Arabidopsis thaliana: one gene and its partner. The protein of the gene in region 1 purifies or fractionates together with the protein of each later gene. This does not show direct contact. Each region holds a gene or a part of one and is shown on either strand. Other genes may lie near its edges.

Region 1 (3,755 bases):
ACAGAACATGAAATGAATGTAGGCCACAGAGACGACTGAATCTTCGCAAACTCACAAACCAATTTATTATCCAACTTAGTGTGATCCAAACCAAAGGTATGAATACACAATCCAGCTACAGAACTAGCATGAAACTGCACTATGTGATACCACATTACAGATCTTCGTAAGACTTAACCATAACTCTTTATCTAGCTAGCAACAAGTAATTCACATATTCTCATGAATTTGATCAATCCCTAGAGTTTCACTAACCAATATCATCAGTCAAAAAGGAAAACTGACCTGAACACCACCGTCTAAAGCAGCACAAGGCTGAAGAATAGGACCAGGATTCGACCGTTCAACAGCAACTTGAACCGGTACACCAAAACCTTTCCTTGGTCCAGTTTCACGAAATCTCGTCTGATTCTCTTCCCGACGTTTATCTCCATCACCAGAAACAGTTCCAGTGTTGTTATCTCCACCATCACCATCTTCATCTCTCACAGCTCCATGACCACCACCACCATCGTTATGACCAAAACCAAGTATACCCGTTAACTTCTTCAAAAAACCCATTAACCCCAGATATCAAATTCGATCTAAAGCCCTCAAATTTAACAGCTTTTCTCTCAAATGAATGATCTTCCAAAATTAGGGTTTTCGAATATCCCTTTCCTCTCCCGATTTTTGCTACTTTCTCCGATCGCTTCTTAATCCAACAATATTCATTTCCTACTGTTAAAACCCAGAAATCTCTGTCTTTAATCTCTCTCTCTCGTGAACACTGTGTTAATCTTCTTATGCACTGCAACAAATTATAGAAAGATGAATTTTTTTTTGGATCAAAGACGGATCGAGCAAGATCTTCTTTTTATCATTAACGGCGCGGTTTCTATTAATATACTAAATAAATATTCCACATTTTTTTTTTCTCTCGTGAGTGAACAAAAAAAAAAATTGCGATCATTTACAGTTTTACTTTTACACATCACTGACATCAGAGAGAATTGAACAAAAAAAATTCGAAAAGTTTCGTGTTAATCATATATATGAAAGTTGGCTAACTCTCTCCAAATGATTGACACATCATCATTTTAGCATTTGCCATGTGTCTATTAAGTAATTAATGTAAGCTCTTCAACTTCTAATTTATAAGTTAATGATATATTTATTATTTAATTTTACATATTTAATTATAGTATTACTAAATTTATTTTAATATTACATGATTTTTCAATAAAACCATTTAATAGTTTTCTCATACTCGAAGATTTTTTTTTGTAATCCAAACTCAAAGTATGAGTATATAATAGTCGTGGATTATTTAATGATTTGAGTAAGTTATTTTCTTAAATTGATATTATATTCTCTTAAATTTATATTTATACAATAAATCATTGAGGTTGAAGAATACGTAAGGAGCTCCATCATCAAATTCTTAGGTTTCTAGAATCCAAAACTACCCTCTCTTAAGTTGGTTTAATACAAACGTTATTTATGAATTATGTGTATGATGCATTGTTGAGAATGTTGTTAGAAAAAATATTTTTAAAATTAAAAGGAATTGTTTATTGTATAAGTGAATAATTAGATAAATAAAAATTATATTTAAATTAAACAATACGAAAAAAATCCGAAAATACCGCGGCGTAGCGCAGGTGATCACCTAGTGTTAATAATTGAAAATTAAGAACTTCTATACATTGTTTGTTACCTAACCATTCTTCATATGTAAACAACAATTAAAAATGATGAAGGATATAATGTACTACAGGCCCATAATTGAGACGCACAGGCCCAGAATCGAATAAGACCGGCCCATTCCAAAATGACGACTGAATTCAATTTTGTTTCTATTTTTTGATAAAAAAGAAATTAAAAAAATATCGCATTTCAGTTGTTCAACTTCTTCGTCGTCGTCTTCTTCCTTTGCTCCGTCGTCGAGATCTCGTCGAACCTCAAATCTCAAATCTCCTGTAACCAGATCGTCTAATTATCCGATCTGCGTTTCGAATCTCAGATCGAAGATGCCGGTGGCTGCTTCCGCCATCTATTTTCTGAATCTCCGTGGCGATGTACTCATAAATCGCACCTACCGAGATGACGTCGGGTAAGAGAGCTTCTCCTTTTCTTCACCGTCGATCTCTTTAATTTTTTGAATTCGGCTTCATTTTCAGCTCCATGTTTTGTTCTTATCGCTTCTAAGTAGTCGTACTTTGTAGGATTTTAGCTGTGAGATTTGAGATTTTAAAATTTTGATTTGATTTTGATACTTAGGGGAAACATGGTGGATGCATTTCGTACGCATATAATGCAGACGAAAGAGTTAGGGAATTGTCCTGTGCGTCAGATTGGTGGCTGCTCCTTTGTTTATATGCGAATCAGCAATGTCTACATCGTCATTGTTGTCAGTAGCAATGCTAATGTTGCTTGTGGATTCAAATTTGTTGTTGAGGTAAACTTGTTTTTGTGTTTCATTTTAATATTCCACAATTGTTTTGATTCTTGTTCAAATTTCAAGAGAGTCAGATTGATTCTATACACATACTGCTTTTGATTCACATTTTCAGGCTGTAGCTTTGTTCAAATCATACTTTGGTGGAGCTTTTGATGAAGACGCTATTAGAAATAACTTTGTTCTGATTTATGAATTGTTGGATGGTAAGTAAGCCTGATAGGGTCATGATCAAATCACTTTCTTATCACTTGTAAAGTTGCATTAGTCGTTATATGTTATTCTATTTTGTGGTAACACCAATGAATGATATTTTGTATTGAATTGCAGAGATTATGGACTTTGGCTATCCACAAAATCTCTCACCTGAAATTTTAAAACTTTATATCACTCAGGAAGGTGTACGGTCACCATTTTCATCGAAGGTAAAGGCATCTATTTGTTTGTGTATACAACAGATTTTGTAATTGTGTTGGTGTGTGGTTCTTCGAAGTTAAGCAGTATTTCCCGCAATAAATAGAGATTATGTTGCTTCTTCACTAGATATGTTTGCATTCATAAGCTTCTTTTCATTACAGCCAAAAGACAAACCTGTTCCAAATGCAACATTACAAGTTACAGGTGCTGTTGGTTGGAGAAGAGAGGGCCTTGCTTACAAAAAGAATGAGGTGAGTGTTGAGTTTCTTTCTGTGTGTATGTAGATCGGCTAGGTTGTGCGGTAGTGATGATATTTTGCATTCTCTCAAACGCAGGTGTTTCTGGATATTGTGGAAAGTGTAAACCTTCTGATGTCCTCTAAAGGTAAATAATTGCCTTTTATGAAGTTTTTTGAAGTTGTCTTTCTTGTTGATTTGCTGTGTATGACTGGTTTTGCATTTTATGGAAACGGTTAGGCAATGTTCTTCGGTGTGATGTGACGGGGAAGGTTTTAATGAAATGTTTCCTTTCGGGAATGCCTGATTTGAAGTTGGGGTTGAATGATAAAATTGGTCTTGAGAAGGAATCAGAAATGAAATCTCGCCCAGCTAAGAGGTATACGTTGTTAATACATTGAACATCAGTAGCCACTGACTTTTCTTTGTGCTAACTGACTCTCGTTTTGTGCAGTGGTAAAACCATTGAGCTTGATGATGTCACATTTCACCAGTGTGTGAACCTGACCAGATTCAACTCCGAGAAGACTGTTAGTTTTGTACCACCGGATGGAGAGTTTGAACTGATGAAGTAAGTTTTCGAATGTCCACTGTTGCAAATTGTTCTGGTACCAAATGTGTATTAACTTTATGATGTCTCAGGTATCGAATAACAGAGGGTG
Region 2 (3,755 bases), about 11 Mb from region 1:
ATGAAATGAATCTTCTGACTGTTTAAAAAACTGTTCTTCACTGAAATTTGAGGTTACCTTTGTTAATAGGAGTGTGAAGAAATCAGAGGAAGACGTCCCTATTCCACCTCTTTTCGAAAGCGCTGCTCTCTGGGGTAAGCTTTACTTTTGATCTCTAACTATGTTCTACAGAATCATCGATGCTTTTCCCCTCTGATGTTCACTGAAAACGATAGTCTTGAACCGTCGATATTGTGTTGTCTACTCTTTTTCCGAGTTCTTGTGATCAGCCATCGGTTTCTTAACCGGGCTTAGTTTCTTAGAAAGGAAAGAACCTGAATTGCCAATGATACCAAGAATAGATTATGCTTACAATTCTATGTGAAGATATTAGCTACATTGTCCTGTTGTTAGCAATATTAGATCAATGGAGAGGGTAATTTAGTTGCTGAGCTCAGAGATAACCCTGAAGTTTACTCTGTGAATTGTTGATTACATATACATATATATTCACTCTCTTCTCTGTATTGCGCTGTTGTTCAGGTGTGTTCCTCGGCTTATCTTCCAATGCGCGTTACCAAATCATCAACGGCCTCGAACGCGTCGTGGAAGGTTCTACAGCGGCCAAACGTATCCCTGTGGTCGCTATGGCATTCACGGTGGGAGTCCGGTTTGCTAACAATGTGTATGGCGGTATGCAATTTGTAGATTGGGCTAAATTGTCCGGCGTTCAGTAATCAACCGGTTCGGTTTTGTTACAAACCGGATAGTAAACTAGCCTAGATGTCAATCCTCAGGAGTATGAGAGTATCTCTAATCTGATGGGGAAGTTTAGTTATCTGAGTTTCATTAGTGTGATTAGGTTATTTACCGAGAGCTACAGAAAGAGAATCTGGTTCATGATACGGACCGGATTCTTCTAACCGGAATACTACTCGATACAACATTTTCAATTTGGTTTTGGAAGTTGAGTTTCTCATGGTATCCTTGTCTCTCTTATTCATTTTTCTGAATCATATACTTGCAATAATGACTCAAACTTTTTATCAGCCGTTAGCCTCTGCGTTTTTATAAAGTTTATAACAATATGATCACAATGGCGAATTATGTCAACTAAACGTCATTTTTGACGTTTGCGTTGATTCATTCTTCTGTGTTTTTTTTTTCACTTTTCCCACCGTTAAAAGTGAGAAGGGGAAAAGGAGAATTGTTGGTAGGTGGAGATATTAAAAGTAATAAATAAAAATATTTAAAGCAACTATGAGTGAGTATATTACAAAAAAATCTTTCGATATTTATTTGCAAGGAAAATATTCTTAGGATACTTTGATGGTAAGGCATCATTCGATAGATGGAGGATCTTGCGAGTGACAGCTTAGTAACCACTGTCATCCAACTGCTGCATGATCCTCATCTTTTGTTCTCTTGTTTCTGTTTTGTGCCCCTTAATGATATTTTATTTATACTCCTTTACTTAATTTGAACAATTTATATTATATGCCCTATAGATTAATTAATGTGAATACCAAATGGTAATCAAAAGCTGACGACTGTTCAAAGGAACATTGTCCTCCCAAGGAAGGTGAATCATTTGATTAATCATCCCTACGTTGGGACCATAACTTGACCTGAATTTAAAATCCGGTTTTTTCATGGTCTCATGGTATGGTTATGTACTTATGTTATACTGAAATACCAATTGAATACATAACCGCGGTGAAAAACAGTTTAAGATTTTGAGACAGATTGTACAAACTTCGTTTTAATGGTGCAGTCTTTTGAGAAATGGCCAGCTTTCTTCATTTTTAATATATAAAATTAGTTTATTCCATGTTTATTTTTCGAATTACTCGTTTATTTTTTGTATTTCTCGAACTTGTAATCTTAAATTCGTCTGTTTAGCTCGTTTTAATTTTTGTTTTTTTTTGTAAACTCGTGAATTCTGTTTTTGGACGAGTCAATTTCGAATTTTCCAAATTCGCATGTGTTCAAAAATCAAAACAGACGAAACTGAATAACACAAAATTGAATAGTCAAAGTTGTAAATAATAAAAGTCGTCCCTCGTCTCTTCCCGCAGGCTTGTCTCTCTCTTCTCCAAAGATCACTCTCTCCTTTTTGAATTTCGTCCATTGGAGGTGTCATTTTCCGTTTCTAGATTAGGGTTTCGATCTCAGCTCTCGCGAATTGCTAATCCTTCAGCTGTGGTCTGCGCTTTCTGTCATAGTTAGATCCGGTTTCGCGAGTTCGGATCTGCGCCGTGTGAGGCGGTGGAGGACGGTGGATCTGAGGACTCTGTTCCACCATGACCGGAATGAGAGGTCTCTCCGTATTTATCAGCGACGTTCGTAATTGTCAGAACAAGGAAGCGGAGAGACTACGAGTTGATAAGGAGCTCGGAAACATTCGTACATGCTTCAAGAATGAGAAGGTTACTCTCAATTATCTCCATTTTTGTTTGCCTGTGTTTTATTCTCATTTTGAGTGGTAATTCAGTGACGGAGTAGTATCTGCCGAGGTTCTGTATTGATTAGATATATTGGAGATTTCTCCATGAAGCTACCTATTCCTCTGAGGTTGATTAGGGAGTTATATAAGAATGTAGTTGAAAGAAAGATGCAATCACTGGCCGAATATTTTATTAGGAAAGCCAGAGTTGCCGAGTGGATAGTTTTGGAAGCCTGTAGTTTCTTATTTTATCGGATTCAGGCTATAAATTTTTGATATAACACTAAGTGTGTACCTGGACAGGCAGTATTGTATAGCTAGCTCAGATCGGTAGAGATTAGCCATTATTCTACCCTTTGTAACATCACTAGTACTGCTTTCAACTTTGGAATGTCATTACTGCATTTAAAGTCCATAGATGGGAGAAGATCAATCAAGATATATAAGACACTAAATATATGATGATATTTAGGAACTAGAAGAAAAGAATGGCCTGGCAGTAAATTCGGTTATGTAGTGATGGTCTAAGGAAAGAAATACAGATCACGGAAAATTTTGAAAAGCTCATTACGAAATACATTAAGCTTTGTTGCTGTAAGAAGTTCTGGAGAGATAATCTGGTTCCATACTCTACGTAGTAGAGCTGTAGCCGGCCTGTAGTGGATCCATGTGTGGCCAGTTGGACCAACACCAAACTTATTTTAAAATGTTAGAAATAAATTAATCATGCACTCTTACTTTAACTTGTTTTATGTTTTCAGGTCTTAACACCATACAAAAAGAAGAAATATGTCTGGAAAATGCTTTATATACATATGCTAGGCTACGATGTGGATTTTGGCCATATGGAGGCAGTTTCTCTTATATCTGCGCCAAAGTATCCAGAAAAGCAGGTAAGCCAACGTTTTGTAACCAATGAAATATTGCTTTCTAAGGGTAGGAGAAGATAATAGGTGTGTGTGTGGTGGGGGTGGGGTATTTGTTTGATTCAAGTCTAGTGAGCAAGCTGAAACAAAAAAAAAAATCTCTGAAGATAATGGATGCTGGATTTAGATACTATTTCACAAGCTTGCAACTTATTCAGTTTGAATGGACCTGGTAAAGTACTGGAGGCATTTACTTAGACGCATAAGTTACTTAGTAACATCGTAGCAAATCTTAACCAGGAACCATGCATTGTATCCAAGGGTTTGTATTTGCAGTTTGTATTATTTTATGCTCACTACCAAATTTGCAGGTATTGAACTTTTCATCCATAATTTCAGGTTGGCTACATTGTTACATCTTGCTTGCTCAATGAGAACCATGACTTTTTGAAGTTGGCTATAAA

The links. The genes of interacting proteins can lie anywhere in the genome.
Region 2: the proteins of AT5G46630 (region 1) and AT5G22780 purify together in Arabidopsis thaliana (affinity purification with a luminescence readout; 2 studies listed by BioGRID, with this or other methods). This does not show direct contact.

Annotation. Positions count from the first base shown.
Region 1 is NC_003076.8:18,918,568-18,922,322, forward strand, and holds the start of AT5G46630 (Clathrin adaptor complexes medium subunit family protein), read left to right. Parts: upstream 1-1,870; 5' UTR 1,871-2,012; coding exon 2,013-2,095; intron 2,096-2,262; coding exon 2,263-2,440; intron 2,441-2,555; coding exon 2,556-2,646; intron 2,647-2,770; coding exon 2,771-2,865; intron 2,866-3,018; coding exon 3,019-3,108; intron 3,109-3,192; coding exon 3,193-3,241; intron 3,242-3,333; coding exon 3,334-3,472; intron 3,473-3,547; coding exon 3,548-3,664; intron 3,665-3,735; coding exon 3,736-3,755. Other genes in the region: AT5G46620 (uncharacterized protein), read right to left, coding at 286-561. UniProt on the Arabidopsis thaliana protein: Subunit of the adaptor protein complex 2 (AP-2). Adaptor protein complexes function in protein transport via transport vesicles in different membrane traffic pathways.
Region 2 is NC_003076.8:7,596,356-7,600,110, reverse strand, and holds the start of AT5G22780 (Adaptor protein complex AP-2, alpha subunit), read left to right. Parts: upstream 1-1,997; 5' UTR 1,998-2,282; coding exon 2,283-2,408; intron 2,409-3,186; coding exon 3,187-3,318; intron 3,319-3,690; coding exon 3,691-3,755. Other genes in the region: RER1 (reticulata-related 1), read left to right, coding at 70-134, 523-716. UniProt on the Arabidopsis thaliana protein: Subunit of the adaptor protein complex 2 (AP-2). Adaptor protein complexes function in protein transport via transport vesicles in different membrane traffic pathways.